Linked DNA regions of Xenopus tropicalis. The protein of the gene in region 2 interacts with the protein of the main gene of each other region in a pairwise test. Links are inferred from orthologs where the notes say so. Each region holds a gene or a part of one and is shown on either strand. Other genes may lie near its edges.

Evidence for each region.
Region 1: the proteins of pias3 (region 2) and sumo2 interact in a two-hybrid assay, tested with the Homo sapiens proteins (2 studies listed by BioGRID). The link is inferred for Xenopus tropicalis from reciprocal best matches to the Homo sapiens genes PIAS3 and SUMO2.

What each region holds. Positions count from the first base shown.
Region 1 is NC_030686.2:44,411,185-44,415,286, reverse strand, and holds the start of sumo2 (small ubiquitin-related modifier 2 precursor), read right to left. Parts: upstream 2,887-4,102; 5' UTR 2,877-2,886; coding exon 2,856-2,876; intron 2,146-2,855; exon of another isoform or gene 1,909-2,145; intron 1,562-1,908; exon of another isoform or gene 704-1,561; intron 102-703; coding exon 1-101. UniProt on the Homo sapiens protein: Ubiquitin-like protein that can be covalently attached to proteins as a monomer or as a lysine-linked polymer.
Region 2 is NC_030684.2:141,818,943-141,823,126, reverse strand, and holds the start of pias3 (E3 SUMO-protein ligase PIAS3), read left to right. Parts: upstream 1-1,334; 5' UTR 1,335-1,894; intron 1,895-4,184. UniProt on the Homo sapiens protein: Functions as an E3-type small ubiquitin-like modifier (SUMO) ligase, stabilizing the interaction between UBE2I and the substrate, and as a SUMO-tethering factor.

The DNA of each region.
Region 1 (4,102 bases), on a different chromosome or scaffold from region 2:
TTGAGCGGTGTGTGCCGCTTGATCTTGAATTGCACCACTGAGCCATCCTGGCCAGCCACTTTCAGGTTGATGTGGTCGTTGTTCTCGGTCTTAACACCTTCCTAAAAGAAGTAAAAAGTGGAATGAGTGCTGGGAAGGGGCATCATGGCACAGAAACACTGGTAACGCTTGTGGTTATTCATCCCGTTGTGAGAAATGAGCTCTTTGCACCCCATTCTAGAGAATACTTTGGCACCAAATGACAAAAGAACTCTAGTTATATTAGATCTGGCCGGGGACCATGCTACATTTGGTAATGTGTTCACAACGCACAAGAAGAAAGATGGGGAGCACAGAAGTTATAAGGCTGCATGTCATTACACAAAATACACCAAATGTTCCCTTTAGAACAACAGTCACTGCTGGGAGCTACAGTTCTGGAATGTTTACTGACTGCACAGGCATTTAACTTACAACTACACTCACAAAAGCTGGTCTAGCCCCTAACCTCATCGTATATATTAGCCTTACAGTACGCTTGCCTGTGTCTCTAGGTCCCCAATTAACAGGTCCCAGTGATTAAGAGAGCAATATCACATTGAGGGCCAGTATGCAGAATAACATGGTACTGCTTCACAGTGTCACAGACCCTGAATCTAAAGACTTAATACAAGTTTAAAAGTTCTCAGAACTTTCTTTCCACTGTGCCTAATGCACCTTACCCTTCCTGCTTCTAACACGTGTTCCTCCATTACCTACACTACTTCCTCAATTCTAAAATTCCTTCCATACTAAGAATTCTCCTTCCTTAGGTCGAAGACACACAGTAGTAGCAGCTACTTGTCACAGCTACTAAAATATTCAATGCCAATCAGTTACTGATAATTCTCTGTTTTCGCAACGCTCCATACTGTCTAAGGCAGGGGATTTTCTGGTGTTTTGTAGCTGTAAAAAATTAGTTGCTGCTAGTAGCTCAGTGTGTCTTCACCCTTATGCCCCTTACTCTGCATGGAATGCCCCCAACATAACCTAGGCTTCTGGCCAGTATTAACTCTATTTAATGGCACTGAGCCCTGCATACCCATTTTCCCACCATTAAGCTCTCCCATAATACTTGCCCTTCTCACTGGCCAGAGGCTACATCTTTTCCCACTCAACATTCTTGAATTCCTCTCTCCCCAAGTTACCTCATTCCCTAAAGTCAATGCCCCCAACATACCTGGGCTCAGGGCCCCCTAAGCTCCCAATTCCCAGCCCCAGTATATGCCCCCAACATACCTGGGCTCAGGGCCCCCTAAGCTCCCAATTCCCAGCCCCAGTATATGCCCCCAACATACCTGGGCTCAGGGCCCCCTAAGCTCCCAATTCACAGCCCCAGTATATGCCCCCAACATACCTGGGCTCAGGGCCCCCTAAGCTCCCAATTCACAGCCCCAGTATATGCCCCCAACATACCTGGGCTCAGGGCCCCCTAAGCTCCCAATTCCCAGTATATGCCCCCAACATACCTGGGCTCAGGGCCCCCTAAGCTCCCAATTCCCAGTATATGCCCCCAACATACCTGGGCTCAGGGCCCCCTAAGCTCCCAATTCCCAGTATATGCCCCCAACATACCTGGGCTCAGGGCCCCCTAAGCTCCCAATTCACAGCCCCAGTATATGCCCCCAACATACCTGGGCTCAGGGCCCCCTAAGCTCCCAATTCCCAGTATATGCCCCCAACATACCTGGGCTCAGGGCCCTCTAAGCTGCCAATTCCCAGCCCCAGTATATTCCCCCCCAACATACCTGGGCTCAGGGCCCCCTAACCTCCCTATTCCCAGCCCCAGTATATGTCCCCAACATACCTAGGCTCAGAGCCCCCTAAACTGCCAATTCCCAGGCCCAGTATATTCCCCCCCCAACATACCTGGGCTCAGGGCCCCCTAACCTCCCAATTCCCAGCCCCAGTATATTCCCCCACAACATACCTGGGCTCAGGCCCCCCTAATATCCCTATTCCCAGTATAGCCAAGGTCGCCCATTCCCATTTACTTCCCATCTCCCAATACTGGCAGTGCCCAACATACCCTTCCCCAGTGCTCCCTGGTTCCTGTCCTCCCTTCCCCAGTGCTCCCTGGCTCCTGTGCTCCCTTCCCCAGTGCTCCCTGGTTCCTGTGCTCCCTGGTTCCTGTGCTCCCTTCCCCAGTGCTCCCTTCCCCAGTGCTCCCTTCCCCAGTGCTCCCTTCCCCAGTGCTCCCTTCCCCAGTGCTCCCTTCCCCAGTGCTCCCTTCCCCAGTGCTCCCTTCCCCAGTGCTCCCTTCCCCAGTGCTCCCTTCCCCAGTGCTCCCTTCCCCTGTGCTCCCTTCCCCTGTGCTCCCTTCCCCTGTGCTCCCTTCCCCTGTGCTCCCTTCCCCTGTGCTCCCTTCCCCTGTGCTCCCTTCCCCTGTGCTCCCTTCCCCTGTGCTCCCTTCCCCAGTGCTCCCTTCCCCAGTGCTCCCTGGTTCCTGTGCTCCCTTCCCCAGTGCTCCCTTCCCCTGTGCTCCCTTCCCCAGTGCTCCCTTCCCCTGTGCTCCCTTCCCCAGTGCTCCCTTCCCCAGTGCTCCCTTCCCCAGTGCTCCCTTCCCCAGTGCTCCCTGGTTCCTGTGCTCCCTTCCCCATAAACCTAGTGGGCCAATGCAGTGCAGCCTCCCATAACCAAGCCCCGCTAGTATGGGCGTCCCTCTCCCGGCTGTCTCCCTACGGGCCCCTCCCGTACCCACAGAGCCCCCGCACAGCCCGCAGGCCGCTGCCCCCTCCCTTTAGCGCCTAGGCCTCTCCCTCCTCCTGCCCCGCACCCACTGCCCCCGGCCCCAAGCCCGCTATGCGACCCTTCCCTCTCCCAGCCCGGAGCAGGACCTTGGGCTTATCGTCCGCCATTGTCAGTTCGCTCCCGGTGCCCGGTACTCTCGCTGCTGCCTCCTCCTCACAAAGAGCCTGAACTGGCGCGGGACGTGGAACGAGAGCGCGCACGTACGGAAAGGAAGATTTGGCGCACTCTCTGCGTGCGCGCCCCCGCCGCTATTTCCACTGTAGGGAAAAGCCCGCCTTGGGGAGCACGTGGCGGCGGGGGCGCGCATGGGGGGAGGGGTCTGACTCTGAGGAGAGTCAGGGTGAGGTTGGGCCGCATTGTACCCGGGATTGGCTAAATCCCTTCCAGTGACTTCATTGGCCTAGTCTCATAGAGGGGGCAGGAGCCATGATAGAAGCTTCCAGAAACAGCCCCCCCTATAATTAAGCCAAAGGAGGAAGCCATACCAGTTGCCATACCAGTTACCTTTTCACTAAAACTTTATTTTGATCAGTCCTGCACTTAAGGGCAAATGCCCATACCTGGTGCCTCTTACCTTCCAGTTTGTGCCTGTATGTTACCCAACCACTTAGATTGTAAGCTCTACGGGGCAGGGACCTCCTTCCTACTGTGTCTCATACCCCATGGCACTTACTCCCTGTGTATTTATACTTATTTATTGAAATTTATTATAACACTTGCCCTACCTGTGGGTAATTGTGTATATTGTAAGATTGTACAGTGCTGCGTATCCTTGTGGCGCTTTATAAATAAAGTTATACATACCAAAAACATAGAGAAGCTAACCATATCCAAAGCTACCAGACAAAACATAAAAATCATATCCAAACCATATCCAAAGTTACCAGACAAAACATAAAAATCATATCCAAACCATATCCAAAGTTACCAGACAAAACATAAAAATCATATCCAAACCATATCCAAAGTTACCAGACAAAACATAAAAATCATATCCAAACCATATCCAAAGTTTCCAGACAAAACATAAAAATCATGGAAGGTGGCTGCCCTTTTAGGGACATAAAATACAGCCATTTCCCAGGGTGGGACTGGACGAGCGGAACGATAGGAGAAAAACCGTCTGTTGAGGTGGTGGACCCCACACACCTCATTCCAACACTGGGATTTACTGTCTTTCTTCCCTATTTACTGTTAATAACACTGACAGCCTTCTGCTCCTCATAGTTACCCCCCCAAAAATGAAAAGGCCTAAAACCCACCCAAAATTGCCTAGGGTACAAGCAGTGCATATTGGGACATGGTTATAAGGGCATTTATTTTCTTTCATTTG
Region 2 (4,184 bases):
TATTATCCCAGCTCCCAGCATGCCCTGCTGTGTGTATATATTATCCCAGCTCCCAGCATGCCCTGCTGTGTGTATGTATTATCCCCGGCTCCCAGCATGCCCTGCTGTGTGTATATATTATCCCGGCTCCCAGCATGCCCTGCTGTGTGTATATATTATCCCCCGGCTCCCAGCATGCCCTGCTGTGTGTATATATTATCCCGGCTCCCAGCATGCCCTGCTGTGTGTATGGCAGTGTGTGTGGGGGGGCGAGGTTGCCAAGCAAGCGGATCTTCTCCCAATATGCCCACATTTAGGGCTAAACTACTGAATTACAACGGTGGGCACAGGCATAGAGATTGGGGGCCGCACCCACAAGCTGATGCCGTCCCTGATCCAATGGAAAATCAAACCCGTGAGATCGAGATCTAACCAATCATAGGCCAGATATTGGTCGGGGTGCCCATCGGGGTGTGCGGCTTTAGGCTGGGCAGGAGGTGTAAGAGCTGCTGGTGCGGCTGAATGAGCAGATCTTTGCCCAATTTGCCCAATGATGCACTGATGGGATTGTATTGGGTCCTAGGGAGACCCACTGAGACTCATGTGGCCCCAGTTGATCTTATTATCAGCCACATACATAGTTACATAGTTACATAGTTACATAGTTACATAGTTACATAGGGTTGAAAAAAGACCTGTGTCCATCAAGTTCAACCCATCCAAGTAAACCCAGCACACCTAACCCACACCTACCAATCTATACTCACATACATAAACTATAAATACAACCACTAATACTAACTGTAGATATTAGTATCACAATAGCCTTGGATATTCTGATTGATCAAGAACTCATCCAGGCCCCTCTTAAAGGCATTAACAGAATCTTAAAGGCATTAACAGAATCTTAAAGGCATTAACAGAATCAATACTGGTCACACAGGCCACCCGGAGGGCCCCACACATTGCCAACTGGGTACCGAGGGGCAAGTTATCAGCCCCAGTATGGCCGCTATCAGAAGGGTTCGGGGGGTTAATAGATTTCTGACCAATACAGACCCCCCATTCCTAGTACCCAGGGCCCAACAGCCCCATGGGCACAAACTCACCCAGCAACTCCCTGCAGCCTACATGTCTAGTTATACTCCCAGCACCTTGTGGCAGTTCCAAGCTGGGAGAGAGATTAGTTCAACTACATTCCTGCCCCTGGGAGAATAAATGACTATTTACTCACATCCCTTTGGGTTGGTATAAAAGTCAAGTTTTCAACAATAAATTCTAGAGTTCCAGCCCCCTGCAATCCCGGCAGTGGCCGCTAGGGGCAGACTGGCCGCGCCGTGTATTTCCTGATTCAAGCTCGTTCCCGTAAAGTGAAAGTCCCGGGAGTGGCCGCTAGGGGCAGCCTGGCCGCGCCGTGTATTTCCTGATTCAAGCTGGTTCCCGTAAAGTGAAAGTCCCGGGAGTGGCCGCTAGGGGCAGCCTGGCCGCGCCGTGTATTTCCTGATTCAAGCTCGTTCCCGTAAAGTGAAAGTCCCGGGAGTGGCCGCTAGGGGCAGCCTGGCCGCGCCGTGTATTTCCTGATTCAAGCTGGTTCCCGTAAAGTGAAAGTCCCGGGAGTGGCCGCTAGGGGCAGCCTGGCCGCGCCGTGTATTTCCTGATTCAAGCTGGTTCCCGTAAAGTGAAAGTCCCGGGAGTGGCCGCTAGGGGCAGCCTGGCCGCGCCGTGTATTTCCTGATTCAAGCTCACTCCCGTAAAGTGAAAGTCGGGCAGCAATCGGGATATTACACCGGACTCCCCCGGTACCGCACCCCGTTGGTAGGGGGGTTTATTCGTGCATTGCGGATGGCAGTGTGGCCCTGAGAGGGGGGTGGGACTGCTGGAAGCCCCCGCCTGACTGAAGCCCTTCTGGCTGTGGGTGAGTACAATGCCGGCGGGGTAACGTGTCCGTCCGCAGGGGAAGTTCTAGGGAGCCGCCGGGCCGCTTTGCGGTTAGGGGAGCGGGGAGGGAATCGGACGCGGAATCGGACGCGGGCTCTTTAAATTTCAGGCGGCTGCACGCTCGCTAACAAAGGCGCCTCCCGGGGCCCAGCTTAACCCTGTGTGTGCCGGGGGCTGTAACCCTGTGTGTGCCGGGGGCTGTAACCCTGTGTGTGCCGGGGGCTGTAACCCTGTGTGTGCCGGGGGCTGTAACCCTGTGTGTGCCGGGGGCTGTGTGTAACTGTATCGGTGCTGTACATCCCGGGGTTTGTATCACTCCGGAACCGGGATCCGTTACACTGTGTCCCCCTCACACCATGTGACCCCCAGCTTCTGTTATAGCCCCATTGCCCTCATATGTACCTACCTCCCACCGTACCTACCGTCTTATATATCTGTATATACATATTACCCTATATATCTGTATCCACTATACATACCTACACGCTACCCTATATATCTGTATCCACTATACATACCTACACGCTACCCTATATACCTGTATCCACTATACATACCTACACGCTACCCTATATATCTGTATCCACTATACATACCTACATGCTACCCTATATATCTGTATGCCACTATACATACCTACACGCTACCCTATATATCTGTATCCACTATACATACCTACACGCTACCCTATATATCTGTATCCACTATACATACCTACACGCTACCCTATATATCTGTATCCACTATACATACCTACACGCTACCCTATATATCTGTATCCACTATACATACCTACATGCTACCCTATATATCTGTATCCACTATACATACCTACACGCTACCCTATATATCTGTATCCACTATACATACCTACATGCTACCCTATATATCTGTATGCCACTATACATACCTACACGCTACCCTATATATCTGTATCCACTATACATACCTACACGCTACCCTATATATCTGTATCCACTATACATACCTACACGCTACCCTATATATCTGTATCCACTATACATACCTACACGCTACCCTATATATCTGTATCCACTATACATACCTACATGCTACCCTATATATCTGTATCCACTATACATACCTACACGCTACCCTATATATCTGTATCCACTATACATACCTACATGCTACCCCTATATATCTGTATCCACTATACATACCTACACGCTACCCTATATATCTGTATCCACTATACATACCTACACGCTACCCTATATATCTGTATCCACTATACATACCTACATGCTACCCTATATATCTGTATCCACTATACATACCTACACGCTACCCTATATATCTGTATCCACTATACATACCTACACGCTACCCTATATATCTGTATCCACTATACATACCTACATGCTACCCTATATATCTGTATCCACTATACATACCTACACGCTACCCTATATATCTGTATCCACTATACATACCTACATGCTACCCTATATATCTGTATCCACTATACATACCTACATGCTACCCTATACAGGTCCTTTTCAAAAAATTAGCATATTGTGATAAAGTTCATTATTTTCTGTAATGTACTGATAAACATTAGACTTTCATATATTTTAGATTCATTACACACAACTGAAGTAGTTCAAGCCTTTTCTTGTTTTAATATTGATGATTGTGGCATACAGCTCATGAAAACCCAAAATTCCTATCTAAAAAAATTAGCATATTTCATCCGACCAATAAAAAAAAGTGTTTTTAATACAAAAAAAGTCAACCTTCAAATAATTATGTTCAGTTATGCACTCAATACTTGGTCGGGAATCCTTTTGCAGAAATGACTGCTTCAATGTGGCGTGGCATGGAGGCAATCAGCCTGTGGCACTGCTCAGGTGTTATGGAGGCCCAGGATGCTTCAATAGCGGCCTTAAGCTCATCCAGAGTGTTGGCTCTTGTGTCTCTCAACTTTCTCTTCACAATATCCCACAGATTCTCTATGGGGTTCAGGTCAGGAGAGTTGGCAGGCCAATTGAGCACAGTAATACCATGGTCAGTAAACCATTTACCAGTGGTTTTGGCACTGTGAGCAGGTGCCAGGTTGTGCTGAAAAATGAAATCTTCATCTCCATAAAGCTTTTCAGCAGATGGAAGCATGAAGTGCTCCAAAATCTCCTGATAGCTAGCTGCATTGACCCTGCCCTTGATAAAACACAGTGGACCAACACCAGCAGCTGACATGGCACCCCAGACCATCACTGACTGTGGGTACTTGACACTGGACTTCA